Tribolium castaneum: one gene and its partners. The protein of the gene in region 2 binds, or shares a complex with, the protein of the main gene of each other region. Links are inferred from orthologs where the notes say so. Each region holds a gene or a part of one and is shown on either strand. Other genes may lie near its edges. The genes, in order: lipid droplet-regulating VLDL assembly factor AUP1, Ubc7 and E3 ubiquitin-protein ligase AMFR.

Region 1 (3,646 bases), about 5.4 Mb from region 2:
TGTTTTATAATATTACGTTAGCATTATCCTAACTTTAATGCAAAGTTATAGCACATTGTTCAGCAAAATCAAAAATAAAAAATGTATCATACGTCCCCAGGATTTTTTTGACAAATGATGATTAAGGTTTTGTTTGAAAAAACTGATGCATAATAATTAATTGATAAAGTTATAAAAATCTGCCGATAGAATAATTTTCATGAGTTATATTTATTACGGATTTTTAAGAACGAAAATTGGCGCCTCCAGCATTTTGAACACAATTTCATATTTCAACTAAAAAATAATACCACTGTCTTTATTTAAAAACGTCCAGCAAAGTAAAAAACAAATATGAATAAATAAAACACTTGTTATCCCAGCGCCTCCACCATTTTTATTTTATGTAAAACTCTAGCAAAATTCCTTCAAAAAATAGTTTATTGCTTATTGAAATTTACTCTTCAACTGAGATTTTATTTATTTATTTATTTATTTATTGATAAGTTAGTAATAGGGAAGAATCAGTTAAATTAAAAACACATGATGGCGTGTAATGAAATGTTTATTGTATTGCAACCAAAAATAAATAACAATATTTACAGTTTAAGTAGTAAAAACCGCAAAGAATCGCCAAACTTAAACTTAAACCAAAATTCTGAAAATGTGCCTCAAACTCCACAACTTAACTAAAAAAAAAAAAACTTATCAAAAACAAACAAACATCCTAAAACGGTATCTTTAAGTCGTGTTTTTCAATATATCGCCTCCTTGCATTGGCAATAAGTTGTTCTTTTCTCTCCTGAAATGACTTGTTTCTCTCGTGGGCAGATCGGGCAAAAGACGAAGCAGCTGTATTGAACAAATCCCTATCACTTGTAGTTGAAGTCGAAGGCGATGCTTTCGTACCAGATGCTACAGATGTGGAAGGTTGTGGATTGTTGGAGGTAGAACTAATTTGTTCTGGCACAAAGTGAACTCGGCCTTCGAGGATATTCGTTATAGTTGTGTCTACATTTCGTGTTTTGTCTGCAACAATAATTACCCCAGTTACCACACGAAACGACGTTAATGCCACCCAAAAATTCAGGCAGATAATAGCTCTTTATAGTAGCTTTATAATAGTAACTTTAGTAATTTTTTCCCAAAATTTTTCTTGTATTTGTAGTGTTTTAAAAAAATTTAAACTCTTTTTTGGTCACGTTTCTCGTAAATATTGGATCATTTTTTCTCGGCCTATTAAAGCTCAATATTTCAGCCTTTTTTGCAAGTAACTGGTTGAATTTAGATTAACTTGAAACTTACTCAAGTCCTTGTAAATTGCGTTTAATGGCACATGTGGTAGCACATCTTTAACTTGTGTCGCCATTCTCCTGACTTCACTATCAACGCTTGGCCTAGGCACAGGTGGCGCTCTCTGTTGTTCAACAAGTTGGCGTTTTTCCCACTCTAAGAGATCGGCAGCTGTCAATTCGGGGGTTTCCACCTAAACATTTTATTAAAGCTCTCAGCTTCAACATTAAAACTTGACGCTATAATAAATCACCTTAAGGGCCGACGCGATATTCTGGCGTACGATTTCGGAAAATTCAGCCTCCGCCACTGACTTTTTCTCAAGAGGAGGCAAAAATTTCAATTTATAGTTAGTAAGAGGCGAAAACATGTAAAATAAAACGTCAGTCCAATAAGATGAGCGTAGAGTTGTAACAGACAGGTCCAGAAACGGGCGTTCAATGCTGATACAAACAGGTTGCACTTTATTTGTCAGGGAGAATGGGTAGCTTTTAAATTTTAGGAGTGCTTTGCCATTTGTGATTTTTTCTTCCGGTGTGAAATGTACTGGGATTTGTTGCTCGGATAAAAAGTCGGCTACGTTTTTCTTAAAACTTTCTAAATTCGTTTGAGTACCGAAATAGTGAACTCCTAAGCCTCTAGCCAGGGCTGGGTGCATTTGAGCGCCGGGCTGCAAGTTTTCGTGAAAAAAATTTTGGGGCCCTTATAAAACTTACTGAGACCGATCCTGTAGCCGTATGGACAGCCAAATGGTCAAAAATCGATAAGTTATTGCTAATATACACTTCTACATTTTCTTTTTTGTCGGGATTTTCTACCGTGACTGTTATACCTAACGTTAAACATGCAATTTTATTCACAAGTTTATGGATAATCCGAGTGTCTGATAAACTACATCCGATCAAAACGACACTCAAAGCTAAGATTGTCCGTAAAATAAACAGGACTATTCCAACAGGTAAGTAAAGCACTAGACACAAAATCTTCAACTCATTTTCGGGAAACCTGAAACGAATTTATTGCAACGCTACCACAACCTAACCCAGGGGGATTACCTTTTGAAACAAAAAAGCTGATTGATTTCGATATTATTTGGCATTTTCACATAACAAAAACAAAATTATCTTAAGGTTTTACACTAAATAACATAACAGAGGGTTAGGTTTGTGACGTCAGTGACATTTGACGTGACGTCTCAAAAAAAAAAACATGAGCGGCTCGTTTTTTGGTTAATAATTTTAACAATTTTTTGTTTGAACAACTATTAAAACATCGTTAATGGTATTTCCAACACAAAATTAAGCTTTTTTTAAAATCCAGAACATATTAAAATCACTAGTCTAGTGCGTACTGCTCTGGTAGGTTGGCAGCAGTTGGTAGAAATCCCGCGTTAGTACGCCATGTTTTGTTCTCCAAAAACGTATTCAAAACGCGTTGTGTTGATGAATTTTTGGGATTATTGTTGTTTACCGGCGTTTTTAAAGTGCTAATAATCGTTTCTAATCCCTGTTTTGGTAATTAGTTGTTGGTGTTAGTGGATTTGGTTTTCGTTTGAAGACATCAACATGAACATTTTAAGGAATTTTACAATTCTCGTCAGGTAAATCCAAATAGTCTTAGTTTATTTAACAGGGGCTTAAACATTTTGAGCCTTAAAAACGTAAGAAAAATCGCTTCGAAAGAAGAAAGTCGTGACGCCACAAACGCCTCTTATCACATGATCCTCTTATCACTGTACCCTCCAATCGGCAAAGACTTGAGATATTTTTCACACATCTTCCAAAAAATCAAAAACTTCTTTCTTTTGTAAATTGTCCTGAGTTTCCTAACAACAATACAGCTGGTTGTTATCCATGTGAAAATATTATACATTTTTAGCAGCAGCTCTTAGAAGCTCATACATTTGAATATTTAAAATCTGACAACTCTATCTACGCCACTGTACAAAAAAAACACCAGTCATGTGACAGCGATTCTATTATCTAAAATATACAAAATAATCTCCAGTCAGGCTGAATAAATTAAACTGTCCCGTAAGTCCAACTAGTCTGCGTTTTTGTGTATTTTCCCGTAATTTTTATAGAAAAAAACTAGGAAAAAACGAAACTCCCTAGTTGCGAAACGTCAGATGTCAGTGTCAACAATTAGGTTATTTTCCTTTGTCAGTGTTTGTGGTTTGGCCCCATCACCAAGTTAAAAGTGAATGTCCTGTTGAGTGCCGTGGAAATGGAGCCAATGCAAGGCAATTCCCCAGAAAGCGTCACAACCTGTGGCACTGACGACGAACGGTGTTGTCTCACCCACCAGCCCTCCTGTCACAGCTCCAAGTCGCTCCTAACCGAGGAAAAAATGCGTCGCAAGCTCCAGTTCTTCT
Region 2 (2,775 bases):
TGGTTTGAAAAATGTTAATTCTTTAACATTGTGTCAATAAACTAAAACATACATGGATGTTTTCTACTCATGAATTTTTTGCAGATTTGCAATCCACAAAGTGGTTCGCAGGGATCTGATCCCCAGTCTTCCATTGCCGAGGAGAATGATCGACTACTTGAACACTCCGCATTATTATTCAGAGCATCTGATAGATGTAGAAGATACAAGTAATGAACAAGTCCCTCCTAGAATCCCTACTCCAGCGATACGACGCGATTATCAGGAAGAAGAAGTCCAAGCACCTATCGTTTCCAACATACCTCTGAACAATTACATTGTTTTGAATAACACAAATCCTCGGCAGTCCTGAGGTTTTCACTTTCTTTTTCATATTTATAGTTATTTATTTTGTTGTTTTGTTAAATTTGTGCAATTAACTTTCAGACCAAAGTTTTAATGTGATTTTAGTATTGTTATGCTTGGAAAGTCAGCTGTAGTTTTTAAGCCAATAACTTATTTATAAGGAAGCAAACGCACATGATAGTAGTTAAGCCAGAAAATAACGTATTTCTTATTAGGTTGTGAATATGTTAGTCACAAAACGGGGTTTTGCGCTAGACAAGACTAAGACTCCTGATGTGAATGGATGCTGCTGTATTTATTTCAATAGCTTAGGTTCCTAACAGACTAAGTTTATGGTTTAACTGTTGTTCAGAAATAATATATTGAAATAAATTTTTTTCTCACTTTAGCGCGGTAACAAGCCAGGCCCTTAGTCTTGAACTTTAAAACTAAACTTTAATCCCCATAAATTATTAAAATTGTAACAAACAGACGTAACTCTCAGTTAAAATTTGTAAAAATTCACGTAGGAATCCCAAGCGTTCGCCTTACAATCCGCTCCGCTATTCTGTTAAATTCCTCCCTATTTTCCCGCCACATTTTCGCAGCATCAACATTTGCTCCACTCTCATCATTAGGTTCTAAAAATCATGTTGAATTTTGTTACTGTTTTGTGAAGAAACGTACCTGCAAGCATGCTGACAACTGAGAGAAGAATTTTTTCAACACTCTGTACAGGAGACCATCTCTCAGCACTTGACTCATAGCCCATAGGGTCATCTCCAGGGGCGTGCAAAATGGAAATACATACTCGCCCATCAGCATAAACTAAAATCTGCTGATTCATCTCCTGTTACAAAAACCCTAATATACTTACTATTAGGGTGAAACATTTCGCAGGTGAACTGCATTTTAGGAGGGCTTAAGGGATAGTCCGGGGGGAAAATGAGTTTAGCTGGGAAAACACCGCCCTCAAAACATGTCCCCTCAGGGCCACTAAAAACCCGTCATATGAAAGTTTCCCTACAAAGACAACTTACGTTATCAACGCTTCCCACTCGAAGAAATTTTCTTCGTTTATTGGACCAGCAATGATACCTTCTGGGGGGTTCAGAGTCAGTTCTAGAAACATAAAACGAATGCAAATAGTTTGAGGTTAGGCTTGCATCTTACGCTTGTACTCGGCCATAAGGCGTCTTAGAGCTGAGCCTGCCATTTTTTATCAATATTTGAACAATATGAGCACCCAAAAATGTGCATTGAATGAATTTAATTATTCTTTATAATATTTTACGTGAGCGTTTGTCAATTCTTAAAAAAAAGTGCACTGCAATCACCAACTCCATCGAACAGCTATAGATCAGACTCAGTAGATGGTACTTTGACAATTTACAGGTTACTATAAGAGCGTAGTTTTGCAGTCATTGCTTAGATGTCACTACCTTAGATTTTATTATTTTTAAATGTTTTATAGATCTCTATAAAAGGTACTTTAAGATTTGACACCCAAATGTCACTACCTACAATTTAAAAAAAAATAGTTTAAGACGTTTTAAAGTTTAAGTTTGAGGCACTTTCTGTTATGTTAGCAACTTGAGATTTTACATGTTTACATAACTTTTGGAGCACTATTACGTCATGTACTTCGATTCCCGATTAAAAAATGTGCAGTGCTACCTCGGTTCCTGATTGAGATACGGGAACGGGACCTATCCCATTCGATAGCCCAGGAAAAATACTACGGCTCAGTAGGGTTTTCACCGCCCCTCTATCTCTAACAGGAACGAAGATATTTCGCATTTTGTGAATTTCAGATTTTCTTCAGTTTTTATAAAAAAATTTGTGAGTGCTAGAAAATTTATGTGAAATTCTGCAAAATTTTAAAAATGGATTTCGTATCAGGATCATAGGAACGCAAAGAGGCCACGAAATTTTTAGCGGCGTTTACATGCAACCAGTTATACATCTGCGTGTATTTTAAGTTATTTATAATTTCTCATTACCCTTTTGCGTTCCTGTGATCCTGATACGAAATCCATTTTTAAAATTTTGCTGAATTTTACTAAAATTTTATTTCATTATCAAAATTTTTATAAAAATTGAAGAAAATCTGCAATTTACAAAATGCGAAATATCTTCGTTTCTGTTGGAGATAGAGGGGTGGTTCTGTCCTTTTGAAAACCCTACCGCCCCGTAGTATTTTTCCTGGGCTATCGAATGGAATAGGTCCCGTTCCCGTATCTCCCTCAGGAACCGAGATAGCACTGCACATTTTTAAATCAGGAATCGAAGTACATGACGTAATTGTGCTCCAAAAGTTACGTGTGCATGTAAAATCTCAAGTTGCTACGACAACAGGAAGTGCCCCAAAATTAACTCGTAAAATATGTTCCAAACAAATCGCATTAAATAAAGACTTTCAACAAAAAAGCCTAAATTTTTTATTAGAGT
Region 3 (3,680 bases), on a different chromosome or scaffold from region 2:
ATTCTCTTGGTAATTACTCGCACACAACAATGACGTGTCTTTAGAAACGATCGATATAAGAATAACATCGAGCAAATTTTTTCCTCGATAAAAAATGCACTAAAACATGACTTAAATATTTCAACCTTGGAACCTTTCATTTCCTCCAATTTTTACCAGTTATATAATTACAAATCAAGTTTTAATACAACTCATAAAATCAATCCACAAATAATAAGCCACGTCAGTTTTTTTCACAAAGTGCGCATTGAAGACCTCGTAATTTCTGTTATTTTATTATACCTGGTTAACAATAGATATCAGCATATAATTTGTGAGTCATTGATAAGAGAATCTAACCGCCTACGGTACTTTGTTCCATGATTCAGACTTGGACAGAGCACATAGTGCCACTAAATTTTTTAAACGTCTGAGTGGTCAATTAATTCGAAAACAACATTCTCGCTTCGCATGCTTTGAAGGACAAGAGGTCCGGTTTAATCTCAACTTAAAAATAATTTTAAAAACCGAACGGAAAGTTGCCAAAAATAAAACGGCACCCAAATGTTTAAAAAATTCAAGGATTCGAGTTGCTACCCGAAACAATAACTGATAAGAGCTCGATGAAAGCGACGATTAACAAGAAATTTGCTAAAAGATTACAGACTGGTTTTAATTAGATTTAAATCGCGAGTTGGTTTTATCATTCAGTGGACCGAAAGTTGATGTAACTCTACACTTTGTAATGGTTTACATTTGTACTACAACTGTTGATAAATTTGTTTACTATTTATTCCAAACAATCTTAAAGTCGGACTAACAAAATTTTCTCTTGTAAACACAGTTTCACAATTTTGTTTTTATTACCTTTAGGACCTTTTTTAAGAACTTTCGGGGAATTATAACCCTCCACTTGTCTATTTCCATGTTTCACAATTTTCTCAAACGCACCACAGCAATGAACAATCAGTAATGAAACTCTTTATAAAATTTTGTCATTGTCTCTCGAAAAATCGTAGGAAGACTCCTACCATTGAAAATAAATTTCCTTCGATTAAAACAGATTTGTCAGAATTTGAAGTGAGAATAATAGATATTATTCTTATTTATGGTGCTATCACATTCATCTGATGCAACGTTTATGACCTGGAAGCGACTTCGGCACGTGTATGGCTTCATCTGACACTAATAACGGGAAAACAATATTCAAAAAATCGTATTGGGAACAATTTCCAATTAGTAACTATTTGGCCTTGTGCATACATTAATTAATTACACTTCACTCCTTTATCTATACTTCCTAACTAAAGAAATAAACCCAACCTACCCCAAATCACCTTGAAAGTTGACAAAATCGATTTTATTACAACGAAACGAGTTTCGGAAAAGTTGAAGCCTTGCTTTCAAAAAGAATAAAACGGCACATTGCATGTCAAAACCTCAATTTAGTAATTGCAAATGATTGTTATTAGAAAAACTTTCAAGCGATTGTGGAATTGTGTGAAATACCGACTGAGCAATAAAATGGGCAAAAAATATACCGGGCGTCAATGAAATATTCTAAGGCAAATAGAAATCAAGAAGGCTGACTTTCTCGATTGTTTCGTGGCATACTAAACCCATTTTCAGGCACCTTTATGCTCCACCCTCCCCTACGAGAATCACTTTTTGCAGACAATAAAAAATAATTAAATCAAACATTTGTTTTTGACGTCTGTAGACAATTACGAGTCTTTTGTTTTGAAACAGGTCAATGAACAAAACATTTAAATTACTTGCGTAGGAAGAGAAGCAGCCGTTTCCGATATTTTTATTAAAGTCTGACTGAATAATGTGAATTGTTGGCATTGCATTGCGGAATTTAAGCTGCGACATGACCTTTTCCAGCCGAGGCACATTTGTGAAAAATTCAATCGAAAATCTGGATCTCTCACGAATGATTGAACAAATCTTAGAAAATCACGAATAAAATATGAGCAAGCCCGGACTCGATGATGAGATCGGAGACTTGGAATACTTTATTCAAAATAATGATTTATGACGCTTCGGTAATTCGAATCATTAACAATTTAAGAAGCCGTTGGATAACGGGACTTGTTCAGTAACGCTTTGGTGCGTAAAGAATTAATTAAAAATGAGGAATTGATCCGATTTTGACTAAAATTTAATAAAGTGACCACACGACTATTCCAGAGCCGGATTACCGGAAGAAAAAAGTGCATTTGTTGTGTCGTTAGCCGGTCAGTTCTTTTCGTTTCGCGGAACGCAATTTGCGGTAATGTTATCCCAAGATTGCGCCACATTTCCGGTAATCCGGAAGAATCCGGGAGCATCAGCCGGCACTCACCCACACGCAGATGGGCTCCCTTATCATAACACTGAACACGTCGGAGACAAACTGCCCCATGGACCGGCCAAGCGGCACCGAGGCGTTACTTCTGTTGGAGTCTTTGATGTCTTCGGCGACGGCCCCCCAGTCGGGGTCCTTGATCACCTGCGTGGCGTAGTAGACGCACGCCGAAAGGGCCAAGACACTGCCGGCGGAGTACATCCGCAGATTGGGCACAGGCAACCGGTCGAGTAAAATCACTGGCATATTGTCACTGTTTACAAACACGATATGTCACAAATTACAACGCGACTCTTGTGCGGCTTGTCAAAGCGGAATTGGGGCGCGACGATGACATAGTGTGGAGTCGCGGCCGCGAACGATTTGTCACTGGAGATGTGGTGCGCTTGGGGCCACGTTACTTTTGATTACACACTGGTACGTGATGGTTAATTTTATACATGTATTGATCATGTGGTGCGCCAGCTGGTCGGGCCGCCACTGATGCACCTGTCAAATATCCGGATAAAACAGGGCCCTGTAAGGGGAAGGGCGAATTTTAAACGAATTTATATATTTCAGAGCATAAGCCTCGTCCCTTTCTTATGTCTTATCCACTTTTATCATTAAAATACTCCAAACACCTGTTTATCCTTAAATGATGGTGTTTGAACAACTTTTTAATCAAATGTCGGCTACTCACAATTCATGCTTCTTGTATAATTGGTTGCCCCTACATACCATTACCATTGGTTCGAAATGTGCACTTCAAGAGCACTTTATTGCAGGCAAAAAATTTCAGTGTTTATTGTTATTTATGATATAGATGATAGTGGACAATAATGGAAAACAATTTCTTTAAAAGTTAACTTTATTTTGGTCATTATTTTTTTAGTAGTTTTTCTTAAAAATGGAACGGCAATAAAGCTAATTAAAAAAATGTTTTATATTATTATTCTCTACAATTATCTATACACTACACCATGAATAAACAAATAAACAATAAACACTAACATTTTTTGCCTGCATTTGAAGAAAACGTAATTCTAAGATTAATTCAAACCAATGTAACTTTGTGCGGAATCCCTCAATTTTAATTTTTTTCTATATTTGGATTAGTAAAGTGCTTCTTTACAACACTCTGAACTCGAAATTCGCCGACACCCTGTAGAGTACCAAAGTAGCAAAACAATAGAGATTTGAATTATAAATAATTTAATTGAGCGAAAATATTTTGGGATTTCACTTACTAATGAGTAACATAATTATTTTGGAAAATTTTGATTAGGAAAAAACGATGGGAAATAGGGACTTTTAAAAACTTGGCCGAAGTGGTTGTATCCTATGGATTCAAAGTTGAAAAATCTTCGTA

The links.
Region 1: the proteins of Ubc7 (region 2) and lipid droplet-regulating VLDL assembly factor AUP1 are in contact, whole or in part, in a crystal structure (PDB 7LEW), measured with the Homo sapiens proteins. The link is inferred for Tribolium castaneum from reciprocal best matches to the Homo sapiens genes UBE2G2 and AUP1. Residues at the interface, in NP_003334.2 of Homo sapiens: Tyr13, Thr17, Pro20, Gly23, Ile24, Val25, Ala26, Gly27, Pro28, Met29, Asn30, Glu31, Glu38, Leu40, Met42, Glu45, Glu50, Phe51, Val53, Pro55, Lys156, Val159, Gln160, Ser162, Leu163, Leu165; in NP_853553.1 of Homo sapiens: Ser379, Arg382, Gln383, Leu386, Arg389, Lys390, Leu393, Tyr394, Tyr396, Ala397, Arg398, Arg400, Phe401, Thr402.
Region 3: the proteins of Ubc7 (region 2) and E3 ubiquitin-protein ligase AMFR are in contact, whole or in part, in an NMR structure (PDB 2LXP), measured with the Homo sapiens proteins. The link is inferred for Tribolium castaneum from reciprocal best matches to the Homo sapiens genes UBE2G2 and AMFR. Residues at the interface, in NP_003334.2 of Homo sapiens: Tyr13, Leu16, Thr17, Pro20, Gly23, Ile24, Val25, Ala26, Gly27, Pro28, Met29, Asn30, Glu31, Glu38, Leu40, Met42, Glu45, Glu50, Phe51, Val53, Val159, Gln160, Leu163, Gly164, Leu165; in NP_001135.3 of Homo sapiens: Ser574, Ala575, Arg578, Gln579, Met581, Leu582, Arg585, Lys586, Leu589, Leu590, Ala593, Arg594, Arg596, Phe597, Leu598, Lys600.

What each region holds. Positions count from the first base shown.
Region 1 is NC_087394.1:36,253,458-36,257,103, forward strand, and holds lipid droplet-regulating VLDL assembly factor AUP1, read right to left. Parts: upstream 2,484-3,646; 5' UTR 2,372-2,483; coding exon 2,328-2,371; intron 2,278-2,327; coding exon 1,989-2,277; intron 1,943-1,988; coding exon 1,526-1,942; intron 1,466-1,525; coding exon 1,285-1,465; intron 1,009-1,284; coding exon 707-1,008; 3' UTR 527-706; downstream 1-526. Other genes in the region: uncharacterized protein LOC103312234, read left to right, coding at 2,838-2,872; mucolipin-3, read left to right, coding at 3,499-3,646. UniProt on the Homo sapiens protein: Plays a role in the translocation of terminally misfolded proteins from the endoplasmic reticulum lumen to the cytoplasm and their degradation by the proteasome. Plays a role in lipid droplet formation. Induces lipid droplet clustering.
Region 2 is NC_087394.1:30,806,780-30,809,554, forward strand, and holds Ubc7 (ubiquitin-conjugating enzyme E2 G2), read right to left. Parts: upstream 1,661-2,775; 5' UTR 1,541-1,660; coding exon 1,498-1,540; intron 1,447-1,497; coding exon 1,365-1,446; intron 1,321-1,364; coding exon 1,202-1,320; intron 1,153-1,201; coding exon 1,012-1,152; intron 966-1,011; coding exon 847-965; 3' UTR 620-846; downstream 1-619. Other genes in the region: uncharacterized protein LOC662537, read left to right, coding at 85-352. UniProt on the Homo sapiens protein: Accepts ubiquitin from the E1 complex and catalyzes its covalent attachment to other proteins. In vitro catalyzes 'Lys-48'-linked polyubiquitination. Involved in endoplasmic reticulum-associated degradation (ERAD).
Region 3 is NC_087396.1:17,611,221-17,614,900, reverse strand, and holds the start of E3 ubiquitin-protein ligase AMFR, read right to left. Parts: upstream 2,840-3,680; 5' UTR 2,576-2,839; coding exon 2,327-2,575; intron 942-2,326; exon of another isoform or gene 907-941; coding exon of another isoform or gene 847-906; intron 1-846. UniProt on the Homo sapiens protein: E3 ubiquitin-protein ligase that mediates the polyubiquitination of lysine and cysteine residues on target proteins, such as CD3D, CYP3A4, CFTR, INSIG1, SOAT2/ACAT2 and APOB for proteasomal degradation.